Pelodiscus sinensis: one gene and its partners. The main gene of each other region encodes a partner of the protein of the gene in region 2 in a complex. Links are inferred from orthologs where the notes say so. Each region holds a gene or a part of one and is shown on either strand. Other genes may lie near its edges.

The links.
Region 1: USP39 (region 2) and LSM8 share a complex: the UniProt entries of both Homo sapiens proteins name them as parts of the U4/U6-U5 tri-snRNP complex. The link is inferred for Pelodiscus sinensis from reciprocal best matches to the Homo sapiens genes USP39 and LSM8.
Region 3: USP39 (region 2) and LSM5 share a complex: the UniProt entries of both Homo sapiens proteins name them as parts of the U4/U6-U5 tri-snRNP complex. The link is inferred for Pelodiscus sinensis from reciprocal best matches to the Homo sapiens genes USP39 and LSM5.
Region 4: USP39 (region 2) and PPIH share a complex: the UniProt entries of both Homo sapiens proteins name them as parts of the U4/U6-U5 tri-snRNP complex. The link is inferred for Pelodiscus sinensis from reciprocal best matches to the Homo sapiens genes USP39 and PPIH.

The regions. Positions count from the first base shown.
Region 1 is NC_134711.1:44,603,721-44,611,110, forward strand, and holds the start of LSM8 (LSM8 homolog, U6 small nuclear RNA associated), read right to left. Parts: upstream 3,003-7,390; 5' UTR 2,888-3,002; coding exon 2,857-2,887; intron 910-2,856; coding exon 869-909; intron 332-868; coding exon 204-331; intron 1-203. UniProt on the Homo sapiens protein: Plays a role in pre-mRNA splicing as component of the U4/U6-U5 tri-snRNP complex that is involved in spliceosome assembly, and as component of the precatalytic spliceosome (spliceosome B complex).
Region 2 is NC_134738.1:5,400,040-5,407,285, forward strand, and holds the start of USP39 (ubiquitin carboxyl-terminal hydrolase 39), read right to left. Parts: upstream 3,005-7,246; 5' UTR 2,798-3,004; coding exon 2,572-2,797; intron 2,133-2,571; coding exon 2,063-2,132; intron 783-2,062; coding exon 688-782; intron 1-687. Other genes in the region: C28H2orf68 (UPF0561 protein C2orf68 homolog), read left to right, coding at 4,487-4,602.
Region 3 is NC_134712.1:171,654,151-171,661,352, reverse strand, and holds the start of LSM5 (U6 snRNA-associated Sm-like protein LSm5), read right to left. Parts: upstream 3,004-7,202; 5' UTR 2,793-3,003; coding exon 2,747-2,792; intron 2,683-2,746; exon of another isoform or gene 2,659-2,682; intron 2,580-2,658; exon of another isoform or gene 2,387-2,579; intron 2,381-2,386; exon of another isoform or gene 2,191-2,380; intron 1,699-2,190; coding exon 1,603-1,698; intron 672-1,602; coding exon 644-671; intron 1-643. UniProt on the Homo sapiens protein: Plays a role in pre-mRNA splicing as component of the U4/U6-U5 tri-snRNP complex that is involved in spliceosome assembly, and as component of the precatalytic spliceosome (spliceosome B complex).
Region 4 is NC_134733.1:3,182,953-3,190,126, forward strand, and holds the start of PPIH (peptidyl-prolyl cis-trans isomerase H), read right to left. Parts: upstream 3,008-7,174; 5' UTR 2,757-3,007; coding exon 2,691-2,756; intron 2,324-2,690; coding exon 2,259-2,323; intron 1-2,258. UniProt on the Homo sapiens protein: PPIase that catalyzes the cis-trans isomerization of proline imidic peptide bonds in oligopeptides and may therefore assist protein folding. Participates in pre-mRNA splicing.

The DNA of each region.
Region 1 (7,390 bases), on a different chromosome or scaffold from region 2:
TTTTAGTCATTCTAGAGATGTTTGCCTACTACATCAAAGGCCAAGGCAGGTTTGCTGTTACCGTATGTTCTGAACATGTGAGTAAAAATAATTTAGGGTTTCTAGGGCTATCAACCTGACATCTTGCATCACTACAGCTTTAATTTATAACATTAACTAATTGTGATTTGACTGGTTTAGAAAAAAGCAGCAGCTGTACTTACACATTATCTCCTCTAACAATATACAGTCCCAATACTACTTGTTCAACTCCTTGTGAAGAACTGAACACCCGTTCATGGCTTTCATCCAAAATCAAGTTGATGGTCTGATCAAAACCTTTGAGGGTTCCCTAAAAAGTGCACAAAAATTTTGAATTCCAATTATCTTTAAGTTTCTCATTTTAGGTCACAAGCATATCCCAGGTAGCAGTATATTATAGAAGAGTTAACAGATTTTATTCTGAGTTTTAAAGCTGAATAAACACATACTCTGTTAGAGACTGGAACTTGAAAACAGAGTCAGTTTAAGACAATTATTTACTATCATGTATTACAAGTAGCAAGGAGTTAAGATTAGTGTAACTTGAATATGAGTCACTTTTTTCAAGCATACTTTGTGCAGTAGAGAGCCCCTTACAAATAGCCAGTTTCACCATTTCTGCTGTAGTTTTCCTTGTTTGTTTTAAACTGACAGACTTTTAAAAGTGATGTCTCTTTTTATAAAAAAAATTACTTAGGTTCTGTATGAAAGATGAGAAATGTTCAAGATGAGCTGTTTCCAAGCTTTATTTGTTTGTAGCATCTGCCATTAGAAGTTGAATGTTCTGTTTTCTAAAAACTCACATACTCCAAGCAACACTATTTGCATAGTACTAATTTATACTCACCACAATCATTCTTCCATCAGAAGTAATAACTGCTACAGTGCCTAACAGTATAGTCAAGGAAATCTTTCAAAATATATATATTCACAGCTTGAAACAATATGTTAAGTTCAACAAAATCTGTAATATAAATTATGAGGCAAGAAATTAGACTCTGTTCCTTAAGAATTTCTTACTCAAAAAATTGTTAAAGAAATCTGTTAACTGAGTGATGAAATCAACCTCTGAAATTAGCAGTCATCTAGGTAATTTTTTTTGTTTGGTCAAACCAGCATCACACTGTTTTCCTTTTTCCCTAAAGGCTGGAGAACTATACAGGCAGTCCCCTAGTTACGCGGATCCGACTTATGTCGGATCCGCAGTTACGAACGGGGCCTGTCTCCCTGGTCTCCAGCAGACCAGGAAGAGGAAGCAAAGCGGCGGAGGCTGTCCGCTGCCCACGTGTTCCGCCGCTTTGCTCCCCGTCCCCCTGGTCTGCAGACCAGGGAGACGGGGAGCAAAGCAGAGCAAAGCCAAGGAGCCCAAGGGCAGCAGGACAGCCACGGCGTGTCTGGGCTGTCCCGCTGCCCCCGGGCTCCGCGGCTTTGCTCCGGACGCCTGTGGTACAGCAGCTGGGGCGCTGCCGGTTGGTCCCGTAGCGCCGCTCTGGGCGCTACTGGACCAACCCGGCAGCACCCCAGCTGCTCTGCCCCAGGCGTCCTGATTCAGCCACTGCTGGTCAGTTTCAGCAGCGTCTGAATCAGGACGCCTGGGGCAGAGCAGCTTGGGTGCTGCTGGGTTGGTCCAGTAGCGCCGAGGAGCGGCGGCGCTACTGGACCAACCCAGCAGCACCCCAGCTGCTCTGCCCCAGGCGTCCCCAAGTCAGCCGCTGCTGAAACTGACCAGTGGCTGACTACAGGAAGCCCCTGCCCCAGGCTTCCTGGAATCAGCCGCTGATCAGTTTCAGCAGCAGGTGACTTGGGGATGCCTGGGGTTCTTAAGTTGAATCTGTATGTAAGTCAGAACTGGCGTCCAGATTCAGCCGCTGTTGAAATTGATCAGTTTCAGCAGCGGCTGAATCTGGACGCCAGTTCCGACTTACATACAGATTCAACTTAAGAACAAACCTACAGTCCCTATCTTGTACGTAACCCGGGGACTGCCTGTATAGCAAAGTGGCCTTTAACTCAAGGCACTGATTGTTCAAATGTAAGGAGTCAGATGAGGAGGAACTAAAGGTTTATCCCACATTGCCCTCATGATATTTTCCTGTCCCATGTCCACTAATTGTACTCACAGAAAGCAGCAGACCCCCAAATATTGAGGAAAGCATTTTTCTTTGTCACCTGGCCAGTGTCAGCCACCCTGTCTAGGCTGACTCCCTAAAGAGTTTTGGTTATGCCCCCCCATCTCTGTTTCTGACTCTGGACTACAGATTCACTAGATGTAAGACCAGAATTGGATCATTAGAGTAACGAGTCTGATCTGCAGGTCCCAGCTCACCCCGTACTGACCATCATTTGTGCTGGGCACATTACTCCAAGTAACGAACAGTCTTCCCTTCAAAACACCCCGAGATGCTGATTCGGGCGCATCCCTGGCTGGTCTGTGAGACAATCACCCTGACAACTAAACGCTCCTGCCCTCGTTTCAAGCTGCGTGTTCAGCCTCGGAGCCCCGCCGGGGTCACTCTCATTGTCCCCGTTTTCCAACTGGGTAAACTGAGGCACTGGCAGCGACTTGCCCCATGGCACCTAACTGGGCAGAGCCAAGTCCCAGCTCAGTGCTCTGCCCACTAGGCCGCGCTGCCCCCACGCCAGGCGTCCCCGGGAGGTCTCTCAAGGCACCGTGAGCAGCAATGGCTCAGCCCCATCCCCGCACAGCCCGGACCAGCTGAGCCGGCCGGCACGGGGCGGGGAGCCTCCCATACAGGTCGCCGCCGAGACCCTCAGGGAAAGGGGGAGCAGGGCGCTGTAATCCCCCCCCAGCCGCCCCCGCCGGCGGAAGGATACGGTTGATGTAGTTCTCCAGCGCCGAGGTCATGGCAGCGACGGATCCGTCCCGCGCTCTCGCTAGCACCGGGCCCTCAACCGCTTCCCGCGAGACTTCGCGGGTTCCCGCGCCAAACGTTCAGAGACGCCGCTGGCTCGCCTCGCTGCGCACGCGCGCGCATGACGCCAGTTGGGGGGGGGGGGGGCTGTGTTTTTTGCGGTGGCCGCCAGGCGTTTCCTGCGGCCGTTACAGTCTCTGGGCAAAGCGCTGGCCCCTCCCCCGCGAAGCCAGGCGAGACGCAAGGCTGAAGGAGCTGGGGGGCGGGATGGAGGCTCCGGGTAGTTGGGCGGCGGGATCCTGGCCACCCCCCAGCCGTGTGCTCCAGCCCTGGCTGCCGGTGCCGACTCTGGGCTCCGGCACGTCGGGCTCCGGGTTCAGCTCCTGGGCCGCGCGGCGCCCGGCTTGTCTCTGGGCTCGCTGGGCAGGCCCCGCCCCACCGCCTTGGCCAGGCGGCAGCAAGTTCTGACCCAGCCTCCAACTCCAGCTTCTGGCCCCGGCCCGGCCCGCGGGCACTGACCCCTCCCCCCATCTCATGGCAGCGGGCGCCAATCCCCGGCTCCAGACGGCGGCGGGGCTCAGCCCCCCAACCTGCATCCATCACCCCATTGCCCCGGGCTCCCGCTGCGCCCTCAGCCCAGCATCTGTTCCGCCATGGGCCCCACTGCCGCCCCCACCGCCCCCCTCAGGCCCTCGCCCCTGTCCAGGGTTTAATTAGTCCTGAGGAAAGTGCTGTTGTTAAACATTCAAGTACCGCTTTTCTCAGCAGACACACTAGTTTGCTGGGAAGCTGTGAAAAGTGACACTTGTATGTAGGTTAATATCCCTTATCCTTTTTCACAGCCTCCCAGGTGGCTATCAGGTGTCTGGCGAAAAGTGATTATTAAACAAATATAAATATCACTGATCACAGTACTTGTTTATTATTACGTCTGCGAAATAACCCTACATACATACATTGCAATGATCTGGATGTGCAAACGTGTGTATATTAATTTGTTTTTTCTTAAATTCAGAAGTGAACTTAAGCTTAAGCTCTGGCAACAGCTGGCTGAGCTGCAGCAAAAGCCAGCAAGGAGCTATTCAAAGAGCTGGCAGGGACCCAGGTTTCCATAGACAGTACCTGTAATAAATTTTAAATTACTTAAATCCCTGTTTACATTAATTTCTTATTTTATGAAAGATGTTAGCATGACCACCAGCAAGAGTTGATGGCCACAATCTGAGGCCACCAAAATGCTTGTTGTGAGAATCACTAGCCTTGACTATCTTTTAGGAAGAATTCTTGCTATGATGGAAGTGTTACAGAGGTACCTGAATGTTATTGGAGGCAGAATAAAACTCTCCTCTTCAGTATCAGGTGGCCTCAGTATGGACACTAAATGCAGGCCTTGGGAGCTCTGTGTTGTAGCCTTACTCATTTTCTTATCTGTGTATCTCAGGCAGGTAGCAGCCTCCTGTCAGGCTACATGCTAACTTGATCTCAGTGACCTAATTGTGGCACATTCGGAGGGGGAAAAAACAACAAATGGTCTGGTAGCACTTTATAGACCAACAAAACATGTAGATGGTATCATGAGTTTTTGTGGGGACATCCTACTTCTTCTGATGATGGGAGTTATGAGTTGGGGATATGAAAAATCGAAATAAATAGGAGAGGGGAGGGGGAGAAAAAGAAAAAAGGAAGGGGGGATGTGAGACAGAGCATCATTAAGTATCTGGAGAATGGGTACTTAAACCTAAGCAGATAAAAAATCAAAGTCAATAGATAAGATTGCTAAGACAGGAAGGATACCACTCAGAGAGCTGTTAGCACCTTCAATGGATACTAAGTAGGTAGTGTCCTAGCCAGCCCATATCACTATTGGGTCCATTAGCATGTGAACTGAATTTGTGGATGAACTGTGATTCCAGTTCTTCCCTATGTATCTGGCTTGTGGAGCTGGCCTGTGACAAGACAGCCGCTTGCAGGTCTGTAAAACTGTGGTTAGGCAAACAGAAATATTCACTAACAGGCTTCTCTATGTTCCCTTTACGTATATCTGATATGTGTCCATTGATTCTTTCCTGCAGAGACCGTCCTGTTTGTCCAATATATATTGCAGTGGGGCACTGCTGGCATTTGATGGCATAGATTAAATTACTAGATGTGCAGTCAAATGACCCTTTGATTTTGTGGCTTATGTTGTTTGCTCCAGTTATGAATTCGTCAGTGTAGATATGTGGGCAGAGTTGGCATCTTTTTTGGTCGCAGGGCTGGGTTCCTAAAGGCTTATGATGTGGTTGTGTGGCATAGTTATCAGAAAGAATACGTTTCAGGTTAGGGGTTTGTCTGTAAGCAAGAATAGGTTTTTCTCCTAAGGCCTCTGAGAGTGAGGGATCATTTTCCAAGATGGGTTGTAAATTGTGTGTAATGTGTTGGAGGGGTCTGAGTTGTGAACTGTAGGTAACAAGAAGAATTCTGTTATTTTCTCTTTTGGGCCTGTCTTGAAGTAGTTCATGTCTGGGTATTTTTTTTGTCTCTGTCAATTTGTTTTTTCACTTCCCCAGTATTTCAGTTTTAGGAATGCTCTGTAAAGATCCTGTAGGTGATTGTCTCTGTCGGTGGGGTCGGAGAAAATCCAGTTGTATCGTAGGGCTTGGCTGTATACAATCGACTGAAAAATGTGTCTGGGATGGAAGCTGGAAGCATGAAGGTAAGTGTAGCATTCGGTGGATTTATGATATAGGGTGGTGGAAATTTGTCCATTATTTAATTGTACTGTAGTGTCCAGGAAGTGGATTTCCCTTGTGGACTGGCCCAGGCTGAGGTTGATAGTAGGGTGGAAGTTGTTGAAATCCTTGTGGAATTATTTAAGAATGTCTTTTCTGTGGGTCCATATGATGAAGATGTCATCGATGTAGTGTACGTAAAGTAGGGATATTAGGGGGCGAGAGCTGAGGAAACGTTCAAGGTCAGCCATAAAGATGTTGGCATATTGTGGTGCCATGCGAGTGCCTGTGGCTGTGCCGCTAATTTGGAGATAGAAATTGTTTCTGAACTGGAAGTAGTTGTGGGTGAGAACAAAGTTGCAGAGCTCTGTAACCAGGTGTGCACTGTTGTTATCGGGGCAGAGGCATAGCGAGGGTGTTATGCGCCATGGGGCAAAAGCAAAATTTGCATGCCACCCGCCACCCTTCCACCACCACATGACAGGGGCCCGAACCTGGTGCACAGCTCAGCCCGACGGGGGCGGGGGAGCTCGTACCACATCTTTCCCTACCCCCTCCAGTTTGGGGCGGGCACTATCCCCCCGTTGAAGAAGAAGGAAGGTCGGGCTGTGGGTGCAGAGGCAGGAAGGAGGCTTCAGCAGGCAGTGGTAGATAGAGGAGGAGCAGGTGAACAGAGGTATGATAGGGGGAGCAGAATGGCAATTACCCTCCCACACCTCCTTTGCTAAGTCAGTGAACGTAAGAGATTAATTTACCTGTTAAAATAACACTCAGAAAAAATCTTTTAAATAAAACTAACACACAACACGAGAATTGCTCTCGCTTTCTTGAAGCAATAAGTAGCCTAAGGCTGAGGATACACTGCAAGCGAGGCTTTCTGTCTGCCACGAGGACTTTTTCCTTCAGGCTTCTGTGAGATTCTATCTTTAAGTAAAGGAGAGAGGTCTCTCTGAGCTGCTCTTCCAAATTTCACACAAGCCATTCAGCTGAAGCCATAAATATCAAGAGTCAAAGCCAGCTTTGCCTTTGGCAGATTGCCTCGCCAGGTGTTTACAATCACAGCATCCGAACATGTATAAGACTTTTAGTTGAGAAAGTCATATTTAATCCCAAGTCTCTGCTATGACTGGGAGATGTGGGTGACCTATAGAAAACACCAGAATTTTCTTTGGAAAATCCACAACAAAACGTGGGAGGATTGATCATCTTGATAATGCCAATTCCTTTACAATTGAGGCTCTGATCATCCAGCATCAGCTGAGGTAGAGCGTGCACTACATGCACATGTCAGATACATTTTTAGCAAAACTGCTACCTGCCCAACTTGTCAAAGGAGAAAGGAAACGGGAGGGGGGAGCCAAAAGGAATGGTTTAGAGCTGTGTTTCTAAACCTTTTTGTTATATGAAGTATCCCTTTTAAAAAATTTATAAATACCCCCAGTACCTACAGTTTTCAGACACACAATTTTTTTTCTACAATTGCAACATATTTGTTTTAACAACTTCATCATATCCCCATCACTCCTTACAAGGTACACTGCCCATGGAGGTCAATGGGGCTGGGCTATTTTATATGTAAAGGTACTGAGAAATGTATACATAAATACCAAGATGGCAATGTGTATATTATGTAAATAATACCGAATAATAATTGCCAAATGAGACCACTTCCCAACCTGTTTACAAAGGGCCTAATACAATTTAAATTTTAATCTAGGATTAAGCCCAAAACAATCTGTTGATATGACCCAAAAAGATCCAGATAACATTTAGTCATCCTTCAAA
Region 2 (7,246 bases):
GAATCTCAGCTACTTCCATGCCCCACTTGCATTGCTATTCAGAAGGAATAAGCTAGAATTCTCTGAGCATCTAACACAGCAGAGAACAGTCCTTGAGGGGGAAATGGAATTATTTTTGGGGGAGGGGTTGGTACATTGATGGAAGATGAATCTTCAAACATCTCAGAGGTAGCTTTCCACAATCCAGGCTGGGATTTAGCTACAAGAACCCCGGGATCCAGTCGCAGGATTTCTACTACTATTAAAATGGGAGACCTGTCACTTCCCACTGATCATTAGTTTCTAACATTCAGTTATTTACCATGCTACTTTCTTTTGAACCCCACATGGTGTCACTAAAACGAAATAAGACACAGGCCCTGTTGATTGCAAGGGGACTTTGCAAAGAAGGAACCACAGAACAGCAGGGGCATGAGCTAAGCACACGTTCAGATGAGCAATACATCCACGCCAGTCACGCACATTTGCTATAACCCTTGCACAAGCCACAGTAATGGCTAAGAAAAGGTTCTTTGATATTCTGACAATAATTTGAATGGAAAATAGCTTTAGAAATTCAGGGCCCACAGGAAAAGGCAAATTCTCACTTAAGATAAATTGAATGTCCTTCTAAGTGCCCCCCAAGTGTTCAGAGCCCAGTTCAGTGCTTCTGCTGCTGCAGAGGCAGGTCTACGGGAATGCACTCACCCTGGAAGTACTTCCCACACACCAGACAAGCATAGACATTTATATGCGAGAGCGAGATGGAGCACAGCTTCTCAAAGTCAAAGTCCAGAACGCTCCTGAAATGGCAGGTTAATAGCGAGTTAGCAGAACGACCATGAAACAGACAAGCTAATATTGCCTACGGAAGTAGGGTCTAGACTCTATGACCTGGAACAGGGGCAGCAACCCTTCTGAAGCAGCGTGCCAAGATTTAACCCTCTTGCCCTGGGCCACGCCACTCTCCTGGGAGGGGAGGAGGGGCTCTCTCCACCATGCACCCTGCTTGGTCTCCTGCCCAGGGCTCCGCTCCAGCTTTTCTTGTGATGCTTTCATGGTTTCATTTTTTTTTTCCACAACGTTTAATATTAAACATAAAAAAGGTAAACATAAAAAGAGAAACCCAAAATATACACCCTACATCCGTTTGTCACTTATAAAGCAACTAAAACAATAAAATTATCATTAAAATAAAAATTTTAAAATAATTATAAGTATTCCTATGAAATGCAAAAAATAATACTTCTTACTTAAAATCTTTTAAAAGCTTAGAAAAGGCCACCAGCTGGGCAGTTTAAAAACAAAAGCCAACCTAGCACGTGCACATGCACATCAACATAAACCAATAAAGCCCAACTATTAAACTCCTATTCAAAACAGGGATGTGAATGGTTAACATCACCCTTAATGGGTGATGCTTGCTACTTACGGTCAATGGGCTGTTCCAGCTCTCTGGGGGGCTCTGGCATGCCACAGGAAGGAAGGCTCCACCCTGGCAGGATCAACCCCCACCCTGGCAGTGGCCAAAGGGGCTGTCACTGTCTGACACGTGCCCTCTGGCTCTGGCCCCGGCCAGGCCACCAGAGCAGCTGCCGCCCAACATGTGACCGCCATACATGTAGGGTGGAGGGAGCGGAGCTTCCGCTGCATGCCATAAGTGCAGTAGGTTGCCAACCCCTGACCTAGAAGGTCCCCGCCAGTCCTACCTTCTCATAAACCTGACAGAGTCCATGAGAACCAAGGTCAACAGAAAACTGATCAGGGCTGATCCATGCCACAGTGCTGGCAGGCTATACCTCAAATATGAGGGATCCCCTTTCCCCATTTCTGGGCTCTCACAGGAACTAAGATCCCACATCAATTTAAAAATCAGAACTGCAGCTCAACCCATCCAGCATCCCTTGCTATTCCAGTCCTGCCCCTCCGGCTGGCATTGCTCGACCTTTGCAGCTGCAGCTCCCTCCAGCCCTGTAGCACCAGCTGAGACTGCTAATCCAGAGAACGCTTGGGGTTCTTCGTGGGTACCAGCCACTCTCACAGACACGGACGTATTAGGACCCTGTGCTTTGTCTCTGCTGACCTGTTAATAGTGTCCAGGTACGGGCAGTGTCTGCTGCGCCGGTCCTCGGGGTCGAATCGGCCGTACCTCACTGGAACAAACACACACACACCACATGGATAAGCATCAACTGCCCGGCCGAGGAATTAGCCGTTTGCCTGAAGTTGTGCCTGCGTGAAAGCAATGCAGTCCCTGGCTCACCTGGCCCAGCTCCAGCCCCCCCCCAACTACAGACCAGGACCCCCCCGCCCCGCCCCCAGCCTCCCCCCAACTACAGACCAGGACCCCCCCGCCCCGCCCCCAGCCTCCTCCCCAACTACAGACCAGGACCCCCCCGCCCCGCCCCCAGCCTCCTCCCCAACTACAGACCAGGACCCCCCCGCCCCGCCCCCAGCCTCCTCCCCAACTACAGACCAGGGCCCCCCCCGCCCCGCCCCGCCCCCCCAACTACAGACCAGGGCCCCCCCCGCCCCGCCCCCAGCCCCCCCCAACTACAGACCAGGAGCCCCCCCGCCCCGCCCCGCCCCCACCTGGCGGTTCCGGCTCCGGCTCCTCCTCGGCCTCGCGCTCCCGCTTGACCCGGGGCGGCCCGTCCTCGGGCTCGCGCTTGACCCGGACCCGCTCGGGCTCCGCCTCGCGCTTCGCTCGGGACGAGCTGCGCGACCCCGCGGACTCCCGCTTGCTGCGGCCCGAGGCCGAGCTCCGCGTGGACGCGCGGGCCTCCCGCTCCCGCTCCCGCTTCGCCCGGCTGGACATCCCGGGCCGCGACCCAACCGGCACTGCGCACGCGCGGCCGCACACGCATGCGCGCGCACCGCCCAGTGGCGCATGTGCATTGAGAGGCGCGTGCGCACAGACGACCAGAGGAAGGCGCGAGGATCAATTTGGCGCCTGCGCAGTCCTATCGTCAGACGCTACCCGCCCCTTTCCGCATGCGCGTTGGTTGCTCTCCGACCAGCGTTTGCGAGATGGGCCGACCGCCGCCATTCCCGGAGTTAGCATTTAAAGAGACAGTCCCCCTTGATAGCGCGCTCATTGGCGCTGGGAGCTGTGCGGCCTGGCTCTGCTCCGGGGGGGGGGGGGGCTGCGGTCTGCGGTGCTGCGCCTCGCCCTGCCCTGGGTCCGATCCCTGCAGCCCGCCCGGCCCCGCAAGCCCCAGCTCCCGGAGTCCCGTGATGGAGCAGTTGCTGCGAGCTGGGTTCCCGGCCCTGGGGGGCTCCCACCAGCAGCAGCTGGGCCACCCGGACACGTGTCTGCGCCTCCCCTGCCTGGTCCCTCAAATCGGCTTCGGGGACCCTGCGACTTTCCCAATACCCAGAGCCTCTGACCCAGGCCTTGTCTACACCAGAGAACTAAACCGGTTTAACTGCTTCCAGCAGGGGCGTAAAAAACTCCCCGGCTACGTCTACACTGGTATGATTTTCCGGAAATGCTTTTAACGGAAAAGTTTTCCGTTAAAAGCATTTTCGGAAAAGCACGTCTAGATTGGCAGAATGCTTTTGCGGAAAAGAGTCTGTGGCCAATCTAGACGCGCCATTTTCGCAATCGGGGCTTTTTTTGCGGAAAATAAATCTGAGCTGTCTACACTGGCCCTTTTGCGCAAAAGCTTTTCGGAACAAGACTTTTGCCCGAACGGGAGCAGCATAGTATTTCCGCAAAAGCACTGACACGAGATCTTACACGAGATCGTCAGTGCTTTTGCGGAAATTCAAGCGGCCAGTGTAAACAGCTGGCAAGTTTTTCCAGAAAAGCAGCTGCTTTTGCGGAAAAAGTGGCCAGTCTAGACACAGCCCCCATGTTCCTCCACCCAGCGGCCTGCTCAAGCCACCCTCGCCGGCACAGAGAGCATGTGGCCGGAGGGATCCTGGGGACCCAGCTGCTGCCTCTTGGGGAGGTGCCCCCCAGAGAACCCCTCCGGGCAGTGCCTGCCGGAGCACAGCGCTGAGTGTAGACGGGCTCTGGGGCGGAGGGACATCTGCTCCCGATGCAGCGGGTGCACCAGCTGCTGCCCTGCAGGGCCTGGCCCAGTGGCTCCAGCAGCGGGGCAGCCAGGCCAGACCCGAGCGGGCAGGGTCGCCCTGCGCCCAGGCTGGGGGCTCGGTTTTGGGGGGCAGATACAGCGCCCAGCACACCCCACGGGCATGGCGCCGGGCGCTGCAGGAGCTCCAGGGGTCCCCCCCACACTCCTTTGGTGCTGCTGGGACAGCCACGGGGGCGGTGCACACGGGACTCAGGGCGGGGGGTCCCCATGCGGGGGGGGCGCATGAGGGGGCGGGGGGCCACGGGGTGCGCCGAATGGTCTGTGCGGGGGGGGGGCTGGTCGGGGGGGCGGGGGCTGCAGACTCGGGGAGCCCCGGGGCGGCTCTCGCGGCTCGGCCGGGCGGGGCCGGGGGCGGGTCTCGGGGCCGGCGCGGCCGCTCTCGGCGCGGGGCGAGGCGGGGGCCGATGGACGCGGGGCCGGAGGCGGAGCGGGGCCCGGCCTGGGGCGGCTGCCGGCCGGGGGGGCGGCTCGACTTGAGCCACGGCTTCGTGCGGCACATCCGGCGCAACCAGATCGCCAGGTACCGGGACCGCCCAGCCCTGCCCCCCCGGAACCCCCCAGCATTGCTCCCCCGGCACCGGGACCCCCCCCAGCATTGCTCCCCCCGGCACCGGGACCCCCCAGCCCTGCCCCCCCGGCACCCCCCCAGCATTGCTCCCCCGGAACCCCCCAGCATTGCTCCCCCCGGCACCGGGACCCCCCCAGCCCTGCCCCCCCGGAACCCCCCCAGCATTGCTCCCCCCGGCACCGGGACCGCCCAGCCCTGCCCCCCCGGAACCCCCCAGCATTGCTCCCCCGGAACCCCCCAGCATTGCTCCCCCCGGCACCGGGACCCCCCAGCCCTGCCCCCCCGGCACCGGGACCCCCCCAGCATTGCTCCCCCCCGGCACCGGGACCCCCCCAGCATTGCTCCCCCGGAACCCCCCCAGCATTGCTCCCCCCGGCACCGGGACCCCCCAGCCCTGCCCCCCCGGAACCCCCCCAGCATTGCTCCCCCCGGCACCGGGACCCCCCAGCCCTGCCCCCCCGGCACCGGGACCGCCCAGCCCTGCCCCCCCGGAACCCCCCAGCATTGCTCCCCCCGGCACCGGGACCCCCCAGCCCTGCCCCCCCGGCACCCCCCCAGCATTGCTCCCCCCGGCACCGGGACCCCCCAGCCCTGCCCCCCCGGAACCCCCCCAGCATTGCTCCCCCGGAACCCCCCCAGCATTGCTCCCCCCGGCACCGGGACCCCCCCCCGGAACCCCCCCAGCATTGCTCCCCCGGAACCCCCCAGCATTGCTCCCCCCGGCACCGGGACCGCCCAGCCCTGCCCCCCCGGCACCCCCCCAGCATTGCTCCCCCCGGGACCGCCCAGCCCTGCCCCCCCCGGAACCCCCCCAGCATTGCTCCCCCCGGCACCGGGACCCCCCAGCCCTGCCCCCCCGGAACCCCCCCAGCATTGCTCCCCCCGGCACCGGGACCCCCCAGCCCTGCCCCCCCGGCACCGGGACCGCCCAGCCCTGCCCCCCCGGAACCCCCCCAGCATTGCTCCCCCCGGCACCGGGACCCCCCAGCCCTGCCCCCCCGGGACCGCCCAGCCCTGCCCCCCCGCACCCCCCCCAGCATTGCTCCCCCCCGGCACCGGGACCGCCCAGCCCTGCCCCCCCGGCACCCCCCCAGCATTGCTCCCCCCGGCACCGGGACCGCCCAGCCCTGCCCCCCCGGAACCCCCCCAGCATTGCTCCCCCGGAACCCCCCCAGCATTGCTCCCCCCGGCACCGGGACCCCCCAGCCCTGCCCCCCGGAACCCCCCCAGCATTGCTCCCCCCGGCACCGGGACCCCCCAGCCCTGCCCCCCCGGCACCGGGACCACCCAGCCCTGCCCCCCCGGAGCCCCCCCAGCATTGCTCCCCCCCGGCACCGGGACCCGCCCAGCCCTGCCCCCCCGGCACCCCCCCAGCATTGCTCCCCCCGGCACCGGGACCGCCCAGCCCTGCCCCCCCGGAACCCCCCCAGCATTGCTCCCCCGGAACCCCCCCAGCATTGCTCCCCCGGCACCGGGACCCCCCAGCCCTGCCCCCCCGGAACCCCCTCAGCATTGCTCCCCCCGCACCGGGACCCCCCAGCCCTGCCCCCCCGGAACCCCCCCAGCATTGCCCCCCCGGCACCGGGACCCCCCAGCCCTGCCCCCCGGAACCCCCCCAGCATTGCTCCCCCGGCACCGGGACCCCCCAGCCCTGCCCCCCCGGAACCCCCCCAGCATTGCTCCCCCCGGCACCGGGACCGCCCAGCCCTGCCCCCCCGGAACCTCCCCAGCATTGCTCCCCCCCGGCACCGGGACCGCCCAGCCCTGCCCCCCCCGGAACCCCCCCAGCATTGCCCCCCCCGGCACCGGGACTGCCCAGCCCTGCCCCCCCGAACCCCCCCAGCATTGCTCCCCCCCGGCACCGGGACCCCCCAGCCCTGCCCCCCCGGAACCCCCCCAGCATTGCTCCCCAGAACCCCCCCAGCATTGCTCCCCCCGGCACCGGGACCCCCCAGCCCTGCCCCCCGGAACCCCCCCAGCATTGCCCCCCGGCACCGGGACCCCCCAGCCCTGCCCCCCCGGAACCCCCCCAGCATTGCTCCCCCCGGCACCGGGACCCCCCAGCCCTGCCCCCCCGGAACCCCCCCAGCATTGCCCCCCCGGCACCGGGACTGCCCAGCCCTGCCCCCCCGGAACCCCCCCAGCATTGCTCCCCCCCGGCACCGGGACCCCCCAGCCCTGCCCCCCCGGAACCCCCCCAGCATTGCTCCCCCAGAACCCCCCCAGCATTGCTCCCCCCGGCACCGGGACCCCCCAGCCCTGCCCCCCCGGAACCCCCCCAGCATTGCCCCCCCGGCACCGGGACCCCCCAGCCCTGCCCCCCCGGAACCCCCCCAGCATTGCTCCCCCCGGCACCGGGACCCCCCAGCCCTGCCCCCCCGGAACCCCCCCAGCATTGCTCCCCCCGGCACCGGGACCGCCCAGCCCTGCCCTCCCGGAACCTCCCCAGCATTGCTCCCCCCCGGCACCGGGACCGCCCAGCCCTGCCCCCCCGGAACCCCCCCAGCATTGCCCCCCCGGCACCGGGACCGCCCAGCCCTGCCCCCCCGGAACCCCTCCAGCATTGCTCCCCCCCGGCACCGGGACCCCCCAGCCC
Region 3 (7,202 bases), on a different chromosome or scaffold from region 2:
ACATGAAAAACTGACAATATGAGTAATGTTGCAAGGTAAGATAAATGCCTTCCTATCCTGGATTATACCTACTTTTTAACTCTTTATCTGTGGTCAAAGCAAAGAAGCAAACATTAAAACTAGTGGGAAATTCAACATGGATTTCAGATTTTAAAAAAAAAAGTCAAGGGTGTCAAACTGGAAACATTTTAAAAAACAAAGAAAATGTGACAGTCAGTCTGTGAAAATGACCTCAGTAGCCAATCCCTGCCCCCAAGAAAACTTACGTCAACTAGTTAAATGTAAAATGCTAATGAAGGAAAGGCAATGTATAGCTTTCACGCGACTTAGCAGGTCAAATTTAAAGTAGGGATGTAAAGAGTTAACCAGTTACTCAGCAAGCATTGGCCTTAGCAGCATGCTTACCTGGTAATTGGTTAACTGGAAGGTAGGGCCAGTGCGAGCAGCCCTCCTGAAGCGGAGCTGATTGGAGCAATCCCCCATCCGCAATGCAACAGAGCCAGCTAGAGAGGAGCCATTCCAATCAGCCACAAGCAAGCCCCCACAGCTTTTCTTTCTACTTTACTTTTGCTATAAATGGGAAAGAAAAAGAGAAAAGCACACAAATAGCCACACACACACAAAAAACAGAAACAATACTTACAACTCTGTAACATCCTCTAATACCATGTCTGAGGTCTACTGTCAAGGAAAACAAAAAACTAAAACATCCTTGATTTAATAATTTTATATTTCCATTTTATAAAAACAATGTAACTTAATTTTTAAAATAACTTCAGCTAGTGTGTAATATTTATCCATGCAAAAAGTAGAAGCATCTGTTCTAGCTAGGGATGTTAAGAGGCAAATATTTAATTAATCCAGTAGCCAATAGAATTTTTATTGATTACTCGATTTGTTGATAGGCAGCCCGGCTCGCACCAAGTGAGACACCAAGCCCCACTGCAGCTCTTCAATTTAAAAGGTAGTAGGAGCTGGGCAGTCTGCCCCCTGGTTTCTACTGCACTTTAAATTGAAGCCATAGCAGGGTTTGGTCCTGCACCTAGCGCAAGCTGGGACTCAGCCCAACCCTGTGCACCAGGGTCCCCGCAGCGAGTCAGGACCTTCTACGCACAGGGGCCGCTAATGCAAAGCAGCATGTCTGTGGCCAGGTAACCCCCCCTACCCCTGATAGAGACAGCACCGGCTCCTGCTCCTCCCTTCCCCATCTTGCTACCTATGTTCTAATAAACATAGAAGCTTCAGGGGGTAGCCAAGAGTCTGTACAGGTAAACTGAAAAAACAACAGATAGTCTGGTAGCACTTTATAGACTAATAAAACATGTAGATGGTATCATGAGCTTTCGTGGGCACAGCCCACTTCTTCAGATGACCGGAGTGTTGGATGTCTAGGACCAAAATAAATAGGGGAGACCAGGGGGGTGGGGTGTGGAAGAAAGGAAAAAATGGGAGGGGGAAGGAAGACAAGAAAAGGCTTATAAAGTAGTTGACTACTCCCTTACATCCCTAATTCTAGCTACCGGATATCCAAACAGCTAAATAATTAAGCTTACTTTAAAAAGAAAAGTGGGAATATTTGCCATTTACATTTTAAAAAGATACTGACAAAGTCATCAAATCCTAGGAGTGTGCCAACTATTTCTTTATCACTCTTCATCACAATATGAATACGTGAACCTATACATTTGTCCACAAGCTCTGCAAATAAGAAAATATTTTATGTAAGATTACATACAACTTAAAACATATATTAAGTGATCATCTTTTTAACACATTCCCTTTAAAGAACATGGTAAACCTGTACACTTTCAAAACGACTGCTCAGAACACTTACAAAAATCTTCTAGTCCCATACCCATAGAAGAGTTAAGCCAGCCTTGGGATGAGCCCTGAACCTCAGCACCCCCTCTTCTCTCCTTTCCCGGCCCCATGGGACTAGAGCTCGAGGGGAGTGAAGCTAGTGTCTTTCTCCTCCTTCTCAGTTCGGGGCCAGGTCAATGAGAGTTTCATTTATTTAGTTTCTCACTTGTGTGGCCCCCCCAACCGATTTTTCTAAGAGTCCCTCCCCCCTCTCGTTTCAGGGGCAGGCCAGGCCCAAGCCACCTAAAAAAAAAAGTGAGACAAGAGATGCCTGTTACTTGTCCATTAACGGAACCCTGCAATCAGAGTCCCAGGCAGGACCCTACTCACATCACGGGGCGTGCCCCGCACAAAACAAGACTGTGATGCCCGGCACCCCCCGCCACAGGCGCAGGGCAGAGCTGGCCACGGCTGTGTAGCGCGGGCTCGCCGCCGGAGCGACCCAAAGGAGCCCGCGCGACACCGCAAGGTGAGGCCACTTCCACTACTTCCGCCGGGGAGGGGCCGAGGGGGCAGCAAAACCCACACGCCGGAGCCGCCGCGGCCCGGCCCCATCAGATCCCCGCGGCGCCGCCGCTCTGCACCGACGTTCCATCGCTCGGGGCGGGCTGCGGCACAACCTGGCCCTGGCGCGCGCGCGGCCCCTTCCGCCCCTGGGCACAGACGTCACCGCCCTCCACGTTCCCTCGGCTTTCCAACGGCGGTAACGGCCCGCGCGACCTGCCTTCCTCCCCCCACCCCATCCGGAGAGGAGCCTCGGACTGCCCCTCCCCCACAGCGCCACCGAAAGCCGCCTACAAACAGATCAGCCTTCCCTCCGCCCCCGATCGGGGAATATCAGGGCACCCCGCGCCGCTGCGGGCCGAGGAGGGGGGAAGCTAGTTACCGAGCGGCAGGAGCTGAGACGGGTTGGTCGTGGCGTTAGCCGCCATATTGAAACCAGACCTGACCAATCGCCGCTATCGGCGGGTGGAAGAGAGAGGGGCCTCGGCCTGATGGATTGAATAACTCTGGGAGCCTCCCCCCGCAGCCCTAACCAATGGATGTCAGAGCAATCGTGCGCCCGCTTGGACGTAGCTGCAGTCTCCGGGCGCGCGCGCACAGCTGGAGCTCCTAGGCTCTGGCTGTAGAAGGCAGATGCCAGAGCCTGCTTTTCAGAGATGTTGGGCAGCATCCTACCCTCCCACTGCCTCCACGCAAATTCAATGGAAAATGGGCTTTTGGCAATGAGACTCCCTGTCCAGGACAGTTCCTTTTTTGTGGTAGCTGCCTCCGGAAATCTGCACAGGTGCACCACACATCCTGCCACCTGATGTATGGTTGGATGGGCTCAGGGTGATACTGGACATCCCAGGTTTTTATCCCTCACAGGTGGCAATACCACCTCCAATATGTAGGCCGGCCTACACTCAGAATGTCAATTGGTATACGACATCTCTCAATTCACTAGGCTGATGGGAAAATTCTAACCACCGCCTCTCAGGGAAGTAGTATAGGCAAAGCCTAAGCATTGTGGCCTTACTTTTGCATCTGGTAGCACCAGCAGGATAATGAAGGGCTCAAAGCAAATCTTATTTAATCAATTCCAGTGGCTACTGTAAACTTCAGGGAGGGTAATGAAGACCATATTTTATAGGGAAGCGTGACTTTGTCTTCCCTAGTTTTCAAAGTTTTTACATATGTGTCACCTTAGGTTTTCATTTCTTGGTTTCCCAAAACTTAAGTTAGGTGCTCTTCACATTCTCCTACGGCATAAGATGCCACTGGGCAACCTTAAGTCTGCATTAGCATTGGGTATTTAATTTGGTTAGCACTAACAATATGCATATACACACAATCCCAACTTAAAAGAATTCATGAACTAAAGATGGGACAGATACTCCATTGTGCATCGGCATCCAAAGTGCCAATACTTGAAGAGTGATGATGGTCCTAAATTCCGTGACTAGCCCTATTGACTGTGAGGTGCTGCACACCTTTCAGGAATTGTTGATGCTCGGCCACTTACAATAGCAGAACCAAAAAGACAACAAAAGTTTCAGAGAAAGAGCGCAGTGGAAGGAGCTTTTAAATCCTTTTTTATGTTCTTGTATGTTTGAAACTTAATTTTTAATTCCTTTTTATTTTGTTATTTTTGTTTTAGTCCTTCTCTTTTTGCGATTCACAAATATTTTTAAACTTTGCCTTTTCCACACTGGAAAGTTTATGAGAAAAGTTTGGTCAACATGGTGCCATCAAAAAAACTATTTCAACAGAGTGTGTTCACGCTTGTCTGTTGGTACCAGTGCGTTCTGTCCAGATAGTATCAACTTACATTACGGAAGACAAACTGCACTTTAGAAAGCCATCCTAGAGTCTTCCATGCCATCTTCCCACTGGAAATCAGAATGTATTGTGGGATACCTGCACACTTCTTAGCCCTGGTCTACTCTAGGACCTTATTCCCAAATATCCCCACCCCCCACTTCCCATCCCTGGTCAAATTTATAAGCTGTGTGTCCACACTACCAAGCTCGTTATTTCAAAAGAATGAATCACGGAATTCAAACTCTGTATTCAGGGGCGGACTGGCAATCAAAATAGGCCAAGGAAATGGGTTGAGAACAGCCGACTTTTTTACTTTTTCCACGCACACTATCTTTGTTCGTTTACACCATACTCGCACTGTTATTTATTGTCAGTTACGGAAAACCACAAACCCACAATGACAGATGATAACAGAACTCATCCAACCACTGCGTACTCTCTACTCACCGGTCAAGACTCAAGCGACTCCATCTCTGATTCCACCATTGCACAAAGCAGGCCTACGCATTGCTGTCATGCACCATCGTACATTGCACATTGCACGTCCGTTCTGTTGATTTCAACTGTAATGTGACGTCATTCACTTTGGCTCAAAGAAACAAAGGCCGAGCCAGTGTAGCAGCCCGACCATACCCGCATACACACACAGCCTCAGCCGCCTCAGATTTATTCAGAAACATTTTGAATTTTGGTATTATAGATTTTTTGGTCTTAGAACAGTGGCCTCCAACCTTTTTACACCCAAGACCACTTTTTAAATGTCAAAACAAGCCAGGATCTACCACTCCATCCTTCCCCCAAAACTCAACCCCTTCCTTGAAGCCCAGCCCTCTCTATTCTCCTCCTCTCCATTACCTGCTATCCCCAGCCCTTATACAGCTAGTCCCTAAGTTACAAACTCATCGACTTACAACCGTTCGTATCTACGACCAACCTCCTATACAGCTGGAACCCGAGTTACGAATGAAATCCGCACTTATGAACAGCGCAGCCATATGTAAGTGAATGTAATCCGACTTACGAACAGATTGAGTTATAACCTAGAGTTTGATACGTAACTCGTTCGTAAGTCAGAGACTGGCTGTACACTCTACACTGCCGGGGGTTTTTTTTCCGATTCTTCTGTAGGAAGAGGTTTTTCCAATATTTGGCCTGTCTGGATGGGACCAAATGTCAGAAAAACCCATTCTTTTGGAAGCCCCTTTATTCCTCATGGAATGAGGCATACAGGGCTTGCCGAAAGAGCATGTTTGCTCTTCCACTAAAAAAAGTGGAAGAACAAACGCATCCATGGACGCGGAAGAGTTTTTCCGGGATATCTCTGGAATCCTGAAAAAACTCCTGGGCTGTGTCTACACTGGCATGAATTTCCGGAAATGCTTAAAACGGAATACTATTCCGTTTTCAGTTTTTCCGGAAAAGGAGCGTCTACATTGGCAGGCTGCTTTTCCGGAAAAGCCCTTTTTCCGGAAAAGCGTCTGTGGCCAATGTAGACGTGCTTTTCCGGAAAAGAGCCCCGATCATCATTTCTGCGATCGGGGCTTTTTTCCGGAAAAGACTACTGGGCTGTCTACACTGGCCCTTTTCCGGAACAGTGTTCCGGAATAAGGACTTATGCCCGAGCAGGAGCAGAATAGTTTTTCCGGAATAGCAGCTGATTTTGTACAGTAGAGCATCATTGCTTTTCCGGAAATTCAAGGGCCAGTGTAGACAGCTCGCAGCTTATTCCGGAAAAGCGGCTGATTTTCCGGAATAAGTGGCCCAGTGTACACACAGCCCTGCAGTCTAACTGTACCCTCACTGGCTTGAGACAGGATATGTGGGCTCTGGGGTGAGCATGAGGGATTTGAGTGTGGGAAGGGGTGAGGGGTGCAAGCTCTGGGAGGAAATTTAGATGCAGGAGGAGGTGGAGAAGGGGATGCTGGATCAGGGAGGGGGCTCCAGGCTGGGGAGTGTTGGGGTCAGATGAAGGGGTGTGGTACTAAGTAAGCCACAGGCTTGTGGATGTGAGGGTGCAGGAATTTGAGTTGGAGTATGTCAGGGGCTCAGGGCAGGGGGTTCCAGTGTATGATAGGCTCAGATCTAAGATCTGGGGGGGAGGGGTGTGTGTGCAGGAGTGTTATGATGCTGTGGCCAGATCGGGGCTGGAGGTTGTTGGCCAGGCTTCATTTTTAAATAAAATACTATGACAAGCACAAAAAGTTTCTGCATTGTCTTTATTGATGAGAAGGGCAAGTAACCTGTTTTGAATCAGGGGTCACTGACTCACAGAAAAGTCAATTGGGCCACACAAGTGAGATGCAAAAAAAAAAAAAAAAATCTCCTCCAAAAACCCCCCAAGCCTCACTAATGTGGCCCTAACTGTGCTGGTGGGAGCAGGGGACATGGTACTAGGGAAGGGTGCTAGTGGGTACTGGGGCAGGGGACAGAGTGCCAGTGGGGACCGGGAGCAAGGTGCTGGGGTGGGGGCAGGGTGCCAGTGGGGGCAGAGTGCCAGTGGGGGACAGGGGACAGGGTGCCAGTGGGGGACAGGGTACCAGAAGGGAACGGGGAATGAGGGCAGAGTTTTGCACCAGGGCACAGGGTGCCAGTGGGGGCAGGGATTCCCCCACACCCGTCTCCTCCCGGGACTCCTCTCCCGTCCCCCTCCCCCTGCAGAGGAGGGAAAGCCCCACTGCACGCCTCCTCCGCGGACGACTCCACCCTCCCCCCCACCAGAGAGGAGAGAAAGCCCCTGCGCGCACCTCCTCTGGGGACTCCCACCACCACCACACCACTTCCCGGTATGCCACAGACCTGGGGGAGGGGAGCAGCCACTGCACTTCCAGAACCCCCGGAAGTGGCACGTAGCTGCCGGACTTCTGTCCACCCCGCAGGAAGCCACCACTACCTCCATTGTCACTGGAGGTAGGTAGTGGGACTTCTTGGGGGTGGGGGAAAATCAGAGGGGGTCCCCCAAACACCTCGCGATCGACTGGTCGAGTCCTTGCGATCGACCAGTCAATTGTGATCAATAGGTTGGTGACCACGGTATT
Region 4 (7,174 bases), on a different chromosome or scaffold from region 2:
ATTTGTGGAGGTCTCTGATGGACGAAGTTACACATGTTCCTGTTCAGGCACTGGGCTGCCCAGTATGAAGAAGTCAGCCAACAGTGGGCCAAGTCAGTAATCTGCCATCTCTCGGGTGCATTGTGTGCAAAGATGCTTTGGGAGGAAGGGGCAAACATGAACACAGTGGGCTGCAGGGTTTCTGAATCGCACATATATCCCCAGGAGCAAATGGTTGAGCCCTCCTCTTTTTTGAGCATGTGGGAATAACTGCTTGGGTCAGGCATTCTTTCCCTAGGAACTAGTAAAAGTCTGGCCAGTCTGAAGTACAGCTGAGTTTTGCTCAATCTGCAGATTGAATCTCACAAGGAGACAGCATGGAATTTGGTGCCTAGGAGGTGATGGGAAGATACGGCAGTAAGGCCACTACATCTGCTAGGCAATTTCCATTACAGGAGACCTGATGTGGGATAAAAATCACAGAATACTAGAACTGGAAAGGACTTTGAGAGGTTATCTGCCCTCACAGCAGGACCAAGCACCATCCAGATCAGGGCTACTCAACTTTGGAAGCCACGAGGGCCACAATGATACAGCACATGCCAAGTGGCGCAACATAAGTGTGGTTGCACAAATATGCAAATATATATGCAAATACAGCGAGGAGTCCTGTGGCACCTTATAGACTAACGGATTTTGCAGATTCAGACTAACACGGTTACCCCTCTGATATATGGAAATAGCTTCTTTCACACAATGCCCCGGTGCTCCTGGCACCACCTTCCTGGGGGCTAGACACGCTGACACCCTGCACCCATCTGTTCCAGCCAGACTGTCCGCTTGCATCTTTCAATGCTCACCCCAGCTGGGAGACGCCTCGCCATTGTGAAGCACGTTCCCAGTGGAGGCCACGTTCAAAGGATCCCACCCGTGAGCCACGTGTTGAGCCCCACGTAAACCCGAACTGCATCATAGGCTGAAAACAAACATAGCCCTGATCTAGATCATCCCTGATAGATATCTATCCATCTTGCTCTTAAATATCTCCAGAGATTCCAAATCCTCCCTAGGCAATTTATTCCAGTGTTTAATCGCCCTGACAGTTAGATGCTACAGCCGTCGATCTTCCATCGTTCAATTCAGTAAAAACTAAAGATGTGAATGTGTACCCATATTCTGTAAATCTGTTCATGGTTACATCCATCCCTGCAGAGATACCTGCCTGCTAGCATGTAAATGTGTAACCACTGAAAAATTCAGCGGTTATACATTTACATAAATAAACGTATTTTAACATCCCTAGTAAATACAGTATAACTGAACAGTCGATTAACCTCATGAATTCTTATCAGTTACTTTACTATTCTACAGTCCCCAGGGGTGGGGTCAGCAGCCAGTGCACTCCAGCGCCACTCCTGGGGAGCGCTCTACCACTGCGCACTCCTGCCTCAGCACCAGTGCAGGGTAGCAGCAGCCCCTGTGTGAGGGTGGAGTCTGAGCTCCTGGACCCAACGTGAGCCGGAACTGAGCCAGGATGCCTGCCCACCCAGCTCCTAATACACTTTAAATGCAGAGCCACAGCAGGGGTAGATCCCAGACCCGTCGCAAGCCAGGACTGAGCCGGGCTGCTGGCCAGCCTACTAAAAAATTTACTGGTGGGGGGCTGGGGAGGAATGCATTAACCTATAAGCTTTTATTTATCAGTTAATCGACTATACTATTACATCCCTAATAAAGACCCCAATGAGGGTGCCACCATTGGCAGCAGTACTCCTATTTCTTGTGAAGAGTAAGGGAAGTTGACAGGAGCATTCCTCCTGTTGACCTTCTGCTGAGAAGACAGTGCCAAAGTATGGCATAAGATACGTCAACTCCAGCTATGTAAAAAAACAAAAACTTAACTTAAAATTGCGTACCTTAAGCTGACCTCCAGTAGTGTGGACCTGGCTTTTAGAGTCTTAACCCTGTCCCTTCCCTTTAAGGGATCTAAAAGTAAAAGTTAATTATCAAGGCAGTTAATTTCCTTGATGATCAAAGCACATGTTAAAGAGGAGGGCTGATACCCTACAGTGCACAATCTACTGCAGGCTGCAGCTCATAAGGCTGTCTCAAAGGGACACAACCTCCATTAAAATTGCTTCTCAGACCCCCTGGGCACTGTGCCAGGCAGGACTGCCCCACTGCTGGGCCAGAGAGCCGGGGCCTCCTCCAGCCAGTTGCTGCATGACCGATCCCCAGGCATTGGGCTGCCTCACTGGGAGCAAAGTGCCACAGGCTACCTGAAATTCTCCGCTGTTTTGGGCACAACATCTGCGAACAGCTCCACCTTCATGCGGCCAACTTCCTAGGGGGGAAAAGAGTGTCAGCGCCAGGCCCATGTCTAGGGCCAGGGCCCCTCTGCCCCCCCACCCTGCCCCCCCGGGGCCAGGGCCCCTCTGCCCCCCCCACCCTGCCCCCCCCGGGCCAGGGCCCCTCTGCCCCCCCCACCCTGCCCCCAGGGACCAGGGCCCCTCTGCCCCCCCCACCCTGCCCCCCGGGGCCAGGGCCCCTCTGCCCCCCCGGGGCCAGGGCCCCTCTGCCCCCCCCCACCTTGCCCCCCGGGGCCAGGGGCCCCTCCCCGAGCTCACTCTGCCCCCCACCCTGCCGCCAGAGCCCCCTCTGCCCCCCGCGGCCCCTTGCCCGCCCGGCCCTCCCCGCGGCCCCGCCCCCACCTGGCCGCCGATGCTGACATCGAAGAAGACCACGGGGTTGTTGGGGTTGGAGGCCAGCACCGACATGGCGACCCACCGGAACCGGAACCCGGACACCGGCCTCCTTCCGGCAACATGGCCTGCCCGGGTTCCGGTTCCGGACCCGCACTCGGAGGGAAGTTACATGGCTCCGGGGGACCCGCCAAGGGTTCGTCCAGCCCCGGCCACAGCCCGGCCGCGGGACTAGAGCCCAGCGCTGGCTAAAAGACCGGCCGCCCGGGAGATGCAGTGCGCAGGCGCAGCAGGGGCTGGGCGTGGCAAAGTGTGCTGGGAGTTGTAGTCCGCGGCTGCGTTCTGTGCTGCTTCTAGTCCCAGCATGCCCCGCGCCACTCCTCTTCCCGCCAAAAGACCGTCTCACGCGAGCCCGTAGCTCAGGGAGCGCTCCTATTGGACACGGTGCTACAGCGTGGGGGGGGGGGGGCGTAACTATGGTGACCCTATTCTCTGAACCAAAGTTAGGGACATATTAGCCACGCCCCTGAGCCCTACTAGCCACGCCCCTGAGCCCCACTAGCCACGCCCCTGAGCCTGCAATTGCATTGACCCGATTTGTGTCTCATTAATTGGGGGGGAGGGGGGACGCCGGGGGAAGTGTCCCCCTGAGGTTATGCCCACACTGGCGCCATCTTGCACCAGAGATATGCAAATGAGGCTAAGCGTGGAATATCGCCGAGCCTCGTTTGCATACCCAACGAGCCGCCATTGTCTGCACTGCCCCTCTTGCCAACGCCGCTAGTCCTGAAAATAATCGGCGTAGCGGCGTTGCACAAGGGGTTTCTTTTCCAAGCAGAAAAGTCCCAGTCTTGTTTCTCTCTCCTCATATGGAAGATGTTCCTTATCCCTAATCATTTCAGTTGCCTCTACTGTACCTTTTCCAACCCAATATATCTTTTTTTTTTTAGATGGGGTGACCAGATCTGCATAAACAAAATACAGGACTATGTAGCACTTTAAAGACTAACAAGATGGTTTATTAGATGATGAGCTTTCGTGGGCCAGACCCACTTCCTCAGATCAGATAGTGGAAGAAAATTGTCACAACCATCTATACCAAAGGATACAATTAAAAAAAAAAGTGAACACGTGATTTGTCCTTTTCATATGTGTTCACTTTTTTTAATTGTGTGTAATTGGGTTTGGAAAAGGTACAGTAGAGGCAACTGAAATGATTAGGGATAAGGAACATCTTCCATATGAGGAGAGAGAAACAAGACTGGGACTTTTCTGCTTGGAAAAGAAATGACTAAAGGATGGGAGGAGGATATGTTAGAAAATCATGAATGGCATGGAAAAAGAATAAGAAAACGTTATTTATTCTTTTGCTAACAACACAAGAAGCTGACCCAATTAAAACATTGATAGACAGCAGATTTAAAACAGACAAAATAAATTATTTTTTCACAGTCAATCCATGGAACTCTTTGGGGATCCCAGGGTGCAGCCTGGGACAGGGGTACTACTAACTCTCCAGCCTGGGCTGTCTCTCACAAGCCTTGCTAGTGACCCCTCTAAGTATTGCTCTCACTCAGGAAAACAGCACGTGGAGCCCCACAGCTAGGTAGATTCCATTCATGTTCCTTGAGCTACTCATGGATCACACACAGAGGCACCAAGTACACCAAGGCCTCAGCTCCTAGCACTGTATCTCAGGAATATACCATATAATTTATTAGTTGGTTCACCATTTTGTCAATAGTAAGTGCACTGATGCACTTAGTGAAGGATGCACAGGAGCTTTTTACTTTTGCTCACCATTTTGGACTCACAGTGAGCCTCAAGAGAACAGAAGTTTTGCCTCAGCTGGTCTGGAAAAAGCCCAGCACTCCAGTGATTGCTGCTGCTGGTACCGTCCTTAAGGGTGTTGACAAGTTCTGCTACCTGGGAAGTGTACTGTCCTCTGGCAGAAATGTGGATCATAATGTATCTGCTCAATTAGCCAAAGCCAGCGCTGCCTTTGGAAAACTAATCAAACGCCTATGGAATGACAGTGGTATTAAACTCCATACCAAGATAGTGGTTTATCAGGAAGTTGTCCTGAATGTCCTGCTGTAAGGCTCAGAGTCATGGACAATATATCGTCCCCATGTTTTGAAGTTCAATCAGTTCCATGTGCATTGTCTGAGGAAAATTGCCCACGTGCACTGGTGGGACAAAATTCCTAATACGGAGGCTCTTAAGCTGTGTGGTGTCACAGGCATGGAGGCAATGCTTATGAACAAACATTACACATCCATGATTAGATTTGTGTGCAGGAAATAGCTTTGGAACTAACCCTCTGAAGCTTCCCCATTGCCTGAATTAACCGGACCAAATCATTGGTCATTAAGATACCATAATTATAATGTCTAGACTGACCTTTGTAATAGATGATAAAGCCAAAATAAGGGGCACCTTAAAGTTTGATAATTCATGCCCTAAACTGTTAAATTTCCTGGCCACTTGCAATTCGTAATCTGGAGCCAATTCCCTCTAAGACAGTGGCTGTGTCATGGTGGACCCTTCTATGTTTCTTGCTAGCAGCGTTCAGCCACGACTCCCATCCTCATTGGAGTAGAGGTACAGGGAGGCAGCACAGGGAGGACACAGCTCCCTAACGGAGGGGTGTGCCACAACCTTATGTGTTTGATTGAATACTGTGGGTGGATTAACACAGTTCGATTAGCATCCTCCTGAATCTCCATCAAACCCATGGCACTTACAACAGGAACAGGAGGAACTAGAACTGATTTGGTGCACTAAACGCCATACGGATCAACTACTGACCACATTCAAGAATCTTTTAGAGCAACCTCAATCTGCATGGCCTCTCGAGGTCCCTTCCAGTCCAGGACTCTATGATTCTAAGTTGCAGCCTCCTCTTATATTCCTTTGCCATGTGGCTTGTACTGCCTTTCTTAGCACATAACTAAGGCTCAGAGTCATGGACAATATGTAGTCGCCATGTTTTGAAGTTCAATCAGTTCCATGTGCTTAGGCCTGGCCCTGCATATGCTGCTGAGCCTCAAGCTGTATCCCCTGCTTTCTCCATGGGCCAACTGAATAGCTGTTGGGCCAGGATGGGCCATCAAGCAGGCGAGGCAGAGCCTTGTCAAACTGTCTACGAGTGTGACCCAGAAACACAGCACAGGTTTTGTACCAGACAGCCGGACAGACACAGCCAGACCCTGAAAGCAAGAGCTGTACAAACACACCCGAGAGTCTGATAACAATATGGGGCAGCTAATAACACGTCCAAAGCCATGAATCACACCCTGGGTCAGCCACAAAGGGAGCCTGCCAAGCCCACCGTCCCCCATCCATCTAGGCCAGAACGGAGCACTGGATCATGCCCAAAGAGCTTTGCTTGTTTTCCTTCCACCCAGAACCCCCCTCTTCTCCTGGGCTGCCCAGAACCACCCTTGGGATGCCCTGAGACAGGCGCGGGACTCTGTCTCCCTGCAGCCCACTGCCCCCACAGGCTCTGGCAGAACAAAGGGGGGGGCCTGCTCGCCCCACTGTGGCTCTGAGCTTCTGCCCTGCCTCCCTCAGCTCGAGTTTCCATCTTTGCCCCATTCCTGCCTCTGGGCAAGTCACACAAAGGAGGCAGCAGAAAGAGCTGGCCCCATATGCCAGCCTCTGAGGGCAGGGGAGTCCAAGCCACCAGCATCCAACAGGACACCAGCCGGTGCCTTCCTACCATCGTCTGACGCAGAGCGTCAGCAGCCGTCCGCATGCTGGTCGCTGGGTGGCCTTCGCTCTGCGTTTGCTGTGCCAGAGGGTGGTCTCGGTGGCTGTCTGCAGGTCACGTGTCTGCCTGGTCCTTCCCTCTTGCCCTGCCCGGCCCTCGGTTGCTTTGTGGCTTTTAAGCCTTCCCTTGGTGCTGTCAGCACCAGCCTCCTCCTGCTTACGGTGCCCAGAGGAAACGGGAGCTGGGCTCCACCCTGGGGCTCCTCCTGCCTCCTGCTTTCCCCTGCCTTGTGAGCCTGGCCCTGGGCCTCCCTCCACGCACCACGGGAGCCAGGGGAAAGCAGGGTGGGAATTTCAGTCCGGCTAGAGATCTGGGAGGGCTGAGGTTGAGTTTCTCACTGCTTGACCTGATGCCCTCGTGTGGTCCCTGTTCCTGCAGCTGCCAGGCTCTGCCCCTTCACACTAAAGGGAGGGAGTCTCAGGGCTAGGCTGGGAGTCAAGGCAGGGAGGGGGCAGGGCGATTTCTCACCTTCATACAGCCTGTGCTTGCCACTGCCAGGCTGGCGTCTCCACACTGACTTCTTGACCATCAAACGTGCAGAATGTTGCACAGAGAGTTTGTCCCTGTTGGTGCCGAGCGCTCACAGGACTGTGGGGAGCTATGAGAGGAGGGCTGGGCACAGGGATCTGTGATGGAGATCTCTGGGAGAGGGGCCATTGGGCATGGGGGTTGCTGGGGGTAAAGGGCTGGGTGATACTGGGCAGAGTGGTAAGCACAC